Linked DNA regions of Oryctolagus cuniculus. The protein of the gene in region 2 binds, or shares a complex with, the protein of the main gene of each other region. Links are inferred from orthologs where the notes say so. Each region holds a gene or a part of one and is shown on either strand. Other genes may lie near its edges.

Region 1 (4,568 bases), about 65 Mb from region 2:
CTCATGTCACCCCAAGCACAGCCTCCCTGAATCAGGGGTCACAACTTCTTCTAACGCCACCCCTGCCTGCAGACTCTGGGCAATCTTGGCCCGGGGCCCAGGGCAAAAGGAAATGGGTCAGCTCTCTTTCCTTCATGTCTCTCCTCCAGGGCCCCTTCTGCTCCAGACCTGCCCCGGGGCCCTGCAGGAGCGAGGCTCATTCTCCTCGACCACGCATGGGATGCACGCCGAGGCCGTCTCACCACCACTGCGGGCTGGCGGACTGCTGCGGTGGGAGAGGGGCCGAAGGTGCAGGCCGGGACATCTGCGTGGAGGGAGACACGGGAACAGACCCTGAGCTGGAAGGGAACTTGGTGATCACGTGGTTGGTGCAGCCCCTTCATTCGAGCAGTAGAAAACAGAGACCACTTCCACCCGGAGCAATCACTTGCTCACGGGCTCACAGCTGCAGCCTAGGACCAGAAACCAGGTGTCCCCTTCTACTGTCAGCTCCCTGCTGCCTGCAGAGTGAGGTCTAAACTCCTCTCATTGTCATCCAGACTCCTTTAGCTGTGCTCGGCCACTGGCCCTGGCTCTCTACAGCTCTCCCCAGGACTCTGAGCTACAGGCCACTCTCCAGCCACACCTCACACTCACACACCTCCTGCCTTTGCTCAGGCAAAGGCGATCATTCCCTTCCACTCTTTATCTTCCCAGCCAACTCCTGCTCCTTCCAAGACCAAGTTCCAGCGTCACTTCCGCACACCTCCCCCTTGAGCCACTCTCCTCCACACTCCCTGCCAAGCTGGTCTCTCCCCCTTGTCTATCCCAAAGTGCTTTGCACAAAATCCTATTAAAGCAGTGTGCTGTATTGACATTGTGCATGTATACGTTTGTGTGCGCATGAGCGTGGGTACACATATGCCTATTAAACTGTGTGTCCGAGGCCTCAGGACTATGACCTGTGCTTCACACATTTCTTTATTCTCCAGGCCTGAGCACATATAAAACACCCAAGAATGAATGGATCAGCGCTGCCTCCTGCAGTGCGTGCACATACAGTCATGAGAACAGCCCACAACACTGTTTTTTTTTTTTTTTAAAGCAACCTCAGGGCAGATTCTATTTGGTCTGGAAAGGGAGGCTCAAAGAAAAGCAGCCGCCTTGCTCAGGTGGGGAGGGTTAGGCGAGGAGGAAGTCTACACCGCCTTGGGGAGCCCAGACGCTTCCTGCACCTGCGCCCCATTTAATCCAAAGGGCAAACATTTTTGGCCCAAAACTCCAGCAATGGCTTTGTAACCCTCTTCCCTAAGTACCTGCCCAGGGTGTGGCTTGCCAAATGCACTCGGTCCAATTCCCTTAGCCTGTGATCCTGCCTTTCGGCGGTGCCGTTCACAACTCCAGTCTTGGCTGCACGCTAGGTGCGTGACCTTGAGCCCTGCATTCAGTCCCTCTGAACCTCACCCTGAGACGGGGATAATTACCCCTGTGCTGCTTATCTCAGGCAAGAACTGGAAGAAACCACAGGTGCGGACGTGCTATGTAAGAGAATGATTGGGCAGGCTGCCCCCACTACTGCCCTCTCTGTCTCATCCTCCCCACCCCCACACTACCGAGAACATTCTTAAGTGCCCCCTCCCCACCCAGGCTCTCCTTATCCTCAGAAAAAGGCAGGGTCGGGGTGGAGGGCTGAGGGTCTTGGCGTTTTTCTCGGTTTTTGGAAACGCTTACCTTCTTCAGCACCTGCCTGTGGCCCGCCCTCTCTGTCCATCCCCAAGGTTTCTCACCATGTAGGGGCACCCTCTGTGGTCCCAAGGCCTGCACAATACAGAGCACTGGAGCTGCCTCTCCACCCTGTTTGGCCAGGGCATCCAGCGTGTGTCCTGGTGAAGCCATTTCTGCACCCTGAGCCTTGTTCTTCCTCATCAGTAACATGGGGTTTAGCTTGCGCCCTCTTAGGAGGCATTTTGAGCTCCCACATATGAGGCTTCTGGATAGAAACGTGCTTGGAAACGCATGGAGGGAGGTAGGGATGGAGAGCCTCGTTGGTCTCCTGCAGTTGGCTACGGCTGCACACCAGGAAGGGGTGAGGCCTTGGACATTTACAGCACCCCTGAAGAGGAGACAGCCCCGGGCTACAAGTAAGACCCTGGGCTCTAATTCTGTCTGTCCCTGGTGCCCCCCCGGGCCTCAGTGGCCCCCTATGGAAATTGATGGAATAGCGAGGGGGATTAGGAGCAGATACTCACCGAAGGGCTGCACTCATGTATTCTCCAACTAGGGACTCCCGGGTCGCATGGGGCCCTGTGGGGGAGCAGGAGCAGGACGCCCATTTCGCAGGAAAGGGAAGCCCAAGGCGAGAACGGGCGGGCGGCTGGCTTGGGTTTGCAGCCTGTAAACCTGAACCCGTCCTCCGGACCCCCAGCCAGGCCTGTGTTGCCAAGAGCAAGGGATGCCTTTGGGAGTCCGGCGGTTTTCCTGAGACTGGGTCGGACCGGGTGCGGGGAAGTGAACTCGGCAGAGCCATCGGCTCTGCGCAGCAAGAAGCCGGCGCGGGGGCCCCCGAGGGTCATTTCCGCGTGCGCACTCTCAGCGCACAGGGACAGGTGTTCGCTTGCGTGCCAATGGGCGTGCAGGCACTTCTGTGTGGTTATGCCAGAGCCCGCGAGCACCGGCTCAAGCTCCGATGATTTCCCGACTGGGCGTGCAAGGGCCCCAGCCTCTCCGCCCCTCCACTGCCTGTGCCGCCCGCCCTGGGTCCGGGCGCTCGCCCGGGAGGCGTGGGCTCCGTAGTTGAGCAGCCCCCAGCTCTGGTCGCAGGTTCCAGGAGAAGGCGCTTGGCCCTCGGAAAGAAGGTGGGAAAACCCCGCATTCGCCAGCCTTCCCACCCCTGCGGGTGCGCCTTACCTACCTCTCTGCAAAGGCTGCGAGGCGGGCGCCCCGCCTGCTGGGTGGACACTGCGCCCCCTGCTCGGGGTTGCCCGGGCACTGCACGCCTCTGCGCCTTGCCGGCCCCGGAGCGCTGCCCCGGGCGCCCAACACCGCCCCGTGCCCTCGGGGCTCTGCGCTCCCACCCGCTCTCCGCTCCCTTTTCTCTCCCTGAGGGCGTCCCCTCCTCGGCCCTGCCCGGCCCCCAACACACCCACTGCTCCCGGGCTGGCTTTGAACGCCTCCGCCCAGCTCTCCGGCCTCACCCTGCTGTGGGCTCCCTTCCGTCCCCTGCAGCGCCTGCTTCCTGGACCTGAGACCCAAGGCTCCTGGCTCCCGCTTGGGCTGAGCCAGAGCGGCCTGAGGCTGATCTCCCCAAGAAGGCTGAGCGCTGGGGGCGGTGGGATCAGACTTAGCTCTGCTGTCTCTCGGCTGTGGCTGTGCCTGTGCGGCCGTGGGCAAGTCACTGCCCCCTCACTGGCCCTTGGCTTCCTCGCTGTGAGATGGGGCCAGTCCCACACACACTTGCTTCCCAGGCCTATGGCTGGGGTCAGAGGAGACCTTAGAGCCCGAAAGCTTAGCGACCCCTGAGTCCAACACCGAAAAGCTCTTTTCCAGGCGATTGCAGAGGCTCAGAGGCGGGAAGGGACTTGCAGGCTCTCACTAACCAAGTTGGTGGCCGAGATCAGACTCAGAATGCACCCACAGCGCCCTCCTAAGCTCCAGCACACGGGGGACTGGTGGCCCTGTTTGAGGTCACAGCTTAGTGCTCGCTACCCCAGAACACGCTTGGCGTTTCCGCCGCCAGGTCCTCACGCCCATGGTTGCTTCCTTGCTGGTGACATTGCAGGCTGCAGAAGACAAGCAGCCTGCCACAGCTGGGAAACCAGGGCCAGGAGGCTGGGGGCAGGGGAATGGCCAGCAGTGGGCTGTCCGGGCTCTACCAAAGCCCCCTGGCAGCCTCCAGCCTCACCTCCCAGTGACCAATAACAAACCCGGACCAGCTCTCAACCCTGCCAACCAAAACCGGCTCCAGGATATCGGGGGCCGGAACCCTCCATCTCAGAATCTAGACTCTCAGGGGGGCTGCCTTTTCAGAGACCTGCCGCGTGATGGGCGTTTTGTACAGAACTCCTTACTTCTGTGCTATGCGTTGGACCCTGCTGTGCCTCTTCCTCAGAGAAGTCATCTGACGCGAGGTGAGCAGTCCCGACTTGCAGGCGGCTCTGGGGCGGAGCATTTGACACAATTAACAGGACTGATTCCCCAAAGCCTCTGATGCAAAGGGTTGCTCAGCCTGCCTTCCTTCCCAGATCCTGCCCTTGGGCCTTGTGTTGACTTTGTGGGATGGTTTCTTTTTTTATTTTTATTTTTTTTAAGATTTATTTATTTTATTTGGAAGGCAGAGTCACAGAGAGGCAGAGGCAGAGAGAGAGAGAGAGGTCCTCCATCCGCTGGTTCATTCCCTTATTGCATCCACTCGTCAGCTAAATTGGAATATTACAAAAGCCAGTGACAGTCACCCATGAATTTTATTGAAAATGAGAGGCAAGTCTACCGGTCAGGACCGCCACTCCTTACCAGAGTGCAGCCCCCAACAGCGAGTTACACAGCTTTTTATAGTATTCTGTCCACTGGGGCTCATAATTTCGAACCAAACC
Region 2 (3,792 bases):
TGCATCCACCCTGTCAGCCAGCTACCCAGGTGCCCACCTGGCCACTTGCTCGTCTGTCCACTTAGCCACCTGCATCCGTCCTCTGTCCAGCTGTCTCTCCATCAGTCCTTCTGGGGGCACAGTGGGCGCCCCAGTGGGGTGACTCCCTAGCTGCTGTTGGGCCTGCCCCGTGCTCCTGGGGTTGTAGTGGCTGTGTGAGCTGGGCAGGGCGTGGTGCCACCAGAGCCAGCCCTGCAACCCCAGCTTGGCGCCTGAGCCCTGGGGTGCAGCACTTATGTCGGCTCTGGCCGGGGAATGAGGACCGGAGCTGCCCCTGGCCCCCTGGCCCCCTGGCCCCCTGGCCCCCTGGCCCCTTGGCCCCTTGGCCCCTTGGCCTCCTGGCCCCCTGGCCCCCTGGCCCCCTGGCCCCCTGGCCCCTTGGCCCCCTGGCCCCTTGGCCCCTTGGCCCCTTGGCCCCTTGGCCCTCTGGCCCCCTGGCCCCCTGGCCGGAAAAGCTGCAGCCCCATCGGGTGTCTGGGCCGTGGCCCCATCCAAGCCCCGCCTCAGCCCCGCCCTCTCACCCTCTGTCCCGCAGGAGATCGTCCTGGTGGTGTTCTTCGGGACCGAGTACGTGGTCCGGCTCTGGTCTGCCGGCTGCCGCAGCAAGTATGTCGGCCTCTGGGGGCGGCTGCGCTTCGCCCGCAAGCCCATCTCCATCATCGGTGAGTCCCACCTGCCCACAGGGTTTCCAGGCCAGGGGGAGCGTCCGTATCCCAGCCCGGCCCCGCCAGAGAGCCCCGAGCACTGGGATACCCCATTCTCTACCTGTCAGGGGCGGGAAGGCCCTGGGCTGCTGGCCACAGGTCTGGGGGGGCTGGCTCCCCTTTCTGGCCTGGTTCAGCTGGATGGCACGCTGGTGGCCCTGGGTAGCCCAGTCATCAGGGTCAGAGCCTGAAGCTTTGTTCCCTGGCCCTTCGTGGGCCTCACAACTGGTCCTCATGGAAGCCAGGGATTTCACACACAGCTGCAGCAGGGGGCTAGGCCTGCCGCTCCTGACCGGCAAGCCCCTTCCCCTGGGCCCAGCTGGCCAGTGGTCCTGACTGCCGCCCTCTTCCCCCAAGACCTCATCGTGGTCGTGGCCTCCATGGTGGTGCTGTGCGTGGGCTCCAAAGGGCAGGTGTTTGCCACGTCGGCCATCAGGTAAGCCTGAGCCCTGGGTGCTGACGGCCTGCGGCTGTGGGGGGAGGGGCTGCCTACTCCCTTCCTCCCTCCAAGTTGGGGTGGCCTCGCCCTCCACGCACCTCTCCAATGTGCTCCTTTGGCTGGGTGCCCGCTGTCCCAGAGTGCTGAGCGGCAGGCTGGGGGCAGGGTTCACAGTGATGCAGGCAGGTGGGGTGGCCGGGGCTCGGGGCCCACGAGACCTAGGACTCGCTGACTGGCACACAGCCTGCTCATCTGTAAATTGGGGTGGCCCTGGGTCTCCCCCAGAGAGCAGTTTGGGGCCAGAGGAGTGTGCTTGAACAGCTGCCCTCCAGCCTGGACCTGAGGATCAGAGCCAGGCCGGAGAGGGCCTCGGGCAGCACGGGGGGCTGAGGCCGGGAGGGGCAGGCACAGGGGGCAGGGGTCTCCGTGGAGATGCCGTGCACAGAGTGGGGGGCTGGTGGGAAGGGGCCTCCCGACAGACGTGGCCTTCCCAGCCCTGCTGCGTGTCCTCCCCAGGGGCATCCGTTTCCTCCAGATCCTGCGGATGCTGCACGTGGACCGCCAGGGAGGCACCTGGAGGCTCCTGGGCTCCGTGGTCTTCATCCACCGCCAGGTGGGTGGCCGTGCGGCAGCACAGCCCACACCGCTGTGGCGGCCCTGCACCAGGGATCCGGCCCGGCCGAGGCCTGGCTCAGGCCCACCTTCCTTTGAACTGAGGATGAGAGATGATTGGGCCGGTGAAAAACCAGACCCATCAGAGCAAGCCGTGCAGGTGGGGTCTGCACCCCCGTCCCCTAGTCCAGCCGCCGCAGGCTCAGGCTGTACCTGTCCTGGACAGCAGGGGCGAGGTCCAGCCTTCCTCTCACACAGGGGCTGCTGGGTACTGGTCAGCTTCCGGCTCTCTCACAGCAGAGGAGAGGGCCAGGCACACGGCTGGAGGGTGGTGGAGGGTGGCCAGGGGCCCAGCAGCTTATTCTGATGTCTGACCTGGGTGTGCACCACAGAGGGGCACTGGAGCCATTTCTGCGGGGGAGCCTGTGGGCCCGGGCTCAGGTGCTGTTTCTACCCGCCCAGGAGCTGATCACCACCCTGTACATCGGCTTCCTCGGCCTCATCTTCTCCTCCTACTTCGTGTACCTGGCTGAGAAGGACGCGGTGAACGAGTCGGGCCGCGTGGAGTTCGGCAGCTACGCGGACGCACTGTGGTGGGGGGTGGTGAGTCGGCGCGGCGCTGGGGCTTTGCTTTCCTGAGGCTTGGGGCCTCGCTGACCGGTCTCCTCTCCTGGACCTCAGGTTTCTCTGTCCTCACATCCATCCTGGGAGCCAAGGGTGCGAGGCCCCACGTGCCACCCAGGCTGCTCTGGGCTGGTTGCCGACAGCTTGTGTTTCATCCAGGAAGTCCAGCCGGGCCTTGGCGTGTGCATGGTGGAGCCTGGGCCTGCTGCGTGCCCTGTGTGTCTCAGCATCTGGGTCCAGGGTGCCAGGCAGGAAACAGGGTGGGAGAAAGGGCGGGGAAGGGTCTCCAAGGCCCTGGCCGGGGAAGTCAGGGTCCTGCCCTATGAGCTCCGGAGCTGCAGCTGCCTGGGGCAGCTGGGAGCCCTGCAGGCAGCCTCCAAGCCAGGGTCACCCAGCCTCAGGTGTGGCGCAGACCCGCGTGAGCCCCGAGTGTCCTGTGTGGACGGAGGAGCTAGGCGGCCATCTTTAGGGGGAGGGGCTGTGCTGCACTGGTCCCCCTGCTGAGGGTTTTGTAGGCACTCGGGGAACCAGCCCCTGAGACCACCCCGCTGAGGGGCCACCACCTCTGGAGACCCGGGGTAGGACGTGGATACTTCTCTCCCCCTCCCCTAGGCTGGTCTCCAGGCCCACTTGGGCCCTGTGAGGGGGGAGTGGGAGGCCAGGCAGGGGACCCAGCCTTGAGGGAACTGTGGGGTGTGTGGTGGCATCAGGCCCTGCTCGCTCTCAGGGACCTAGGGCGGGGAGCTGGCCTGTGCTCTCATTACTCCTGTGCCCCCCCCCCCCCACAAAGCCAGGCATGCGCTGGGGGCTTTTGATGTTGGCCAAGTCAACGTGTTTTCTGGAAGCTTCCAGCGTGCTCTGGGAGGACAAAGACATGCTGACACAGCTCCCGGGTTAGGGCAAGTCCTGCTTTCGGCCTCTGCCTGCCCCGTGGACGCCCAAGTCCCTGAAGGCCCCTGGGCAGTGGGCCTGAGCCAGTTTGGGCAGGGGATGGTCGCAGGGACATGGCAGGGCCTGCACAGGGTGGGGGCCAGGTTGCCCCAACCCAGAAGACCACCCTGGGGCAAGGTGGGCAGTGGGGGCCCTGGAAGCAGCAGGAAGCGTGGGGGCAGCTGCCCACAGTGCGGCTGATAAGCGGGGCCCAGCCCTGGCACGGCCCCGCCTGCCTCCCTGGCCGCCCGCTGGAGCTGTGGGCAGCAGAGGCTGCTCCCGGCCCCCGGCCCGCGGCGCTCCCACTCCCACACCTGTGCAAACATCCGCCCGCCGGCCGGGAACACGGCCCCTTTGTGCCCAGCTTGGCACCAGTGCCCTGGCCCGCGCCGTCAGCTGCAGCCCGCGCCTTGGTCACTGAGCGCCCTGGCCGGCCATTGTTCC

Evidence for each region.
Region 1: the proteins of KCNQ1 (region 2) and KCNE3 are in contact, whole or in part, in a cryo-EM structure (PDB 6V01), measured with the Homo sapiens proteins. The link is inferred for Oryctolagus cuniculus from reciprocal best matches to the Homo sapiens genes KCNQ1 and KCNE3. Residues at the interface, in NP_000209.2 of Homo sapiens: Arg116, Pro117, Thr118, Gly119, Trp120, Cys122, Phe123, His126, Phe127, Phe130, Leu134, Leu137, Ile138, Val141, Leu142, Ile145, Gln147, Tyr148, Arg181, Met238, Val241, Asp242, Gln244, Thr247, Lys362, Asn365, Ile368; in NP_005463.1 of Homo sapiens: Asp54, Asp55, Asn56, Ser57, Tyr58, Ile61, Met65, Phe68, Ala69, Val72, Gly73, Leu75, Ile76, Leu77, Tyr79, Thr80, Arg81, Ser82, Arg83, Val85, Lys87, Asp90.

What each region holds. Positions count from the first base shown.
Region 1 is NC_091432.1:65,696,890-65,701,457, forward strand, and holds the start of KCNE3 (potassium voltage-gated channel subfamily E member 3), read right to left. Parts: upstream 3,057-4,568; 5' UTR 2,891-3,056; exon of another isoform or gene 2,887-2,890; intron 1-2,886. UniProt on the Homo sapiens protein: Ancillary protein that functions as a regulatory subunit of the voltage-gated potassium (Kv) channel complex composed of pore-forming and potassium-conducting alpha subunits and of regulatory beta subunits.
Region 2 is NC_091432.1:1,056,061-1,059,852, reverse strand, and holds part of KCNQ1 (potassium voltage-gated channel subfamily KQT member 1), read left to right. Parts: intron 1-574; coding exon 575-701; intron 702-1,100; coding exon 1,101-1,179; intron 1,180-1,698; coding exon 1,699-1,795; intron 1,796-2,256; coding exon 2,257-2,397; intron 2,398-3,792. UniProt on the Homo sapiens protein: Pore-forming subunit of the voltage-gated potassium (Kv) channel involved in the regulation of cardiomyocyte excitability and important in normal development and functions of myocardium, inner ear, stomach and colon.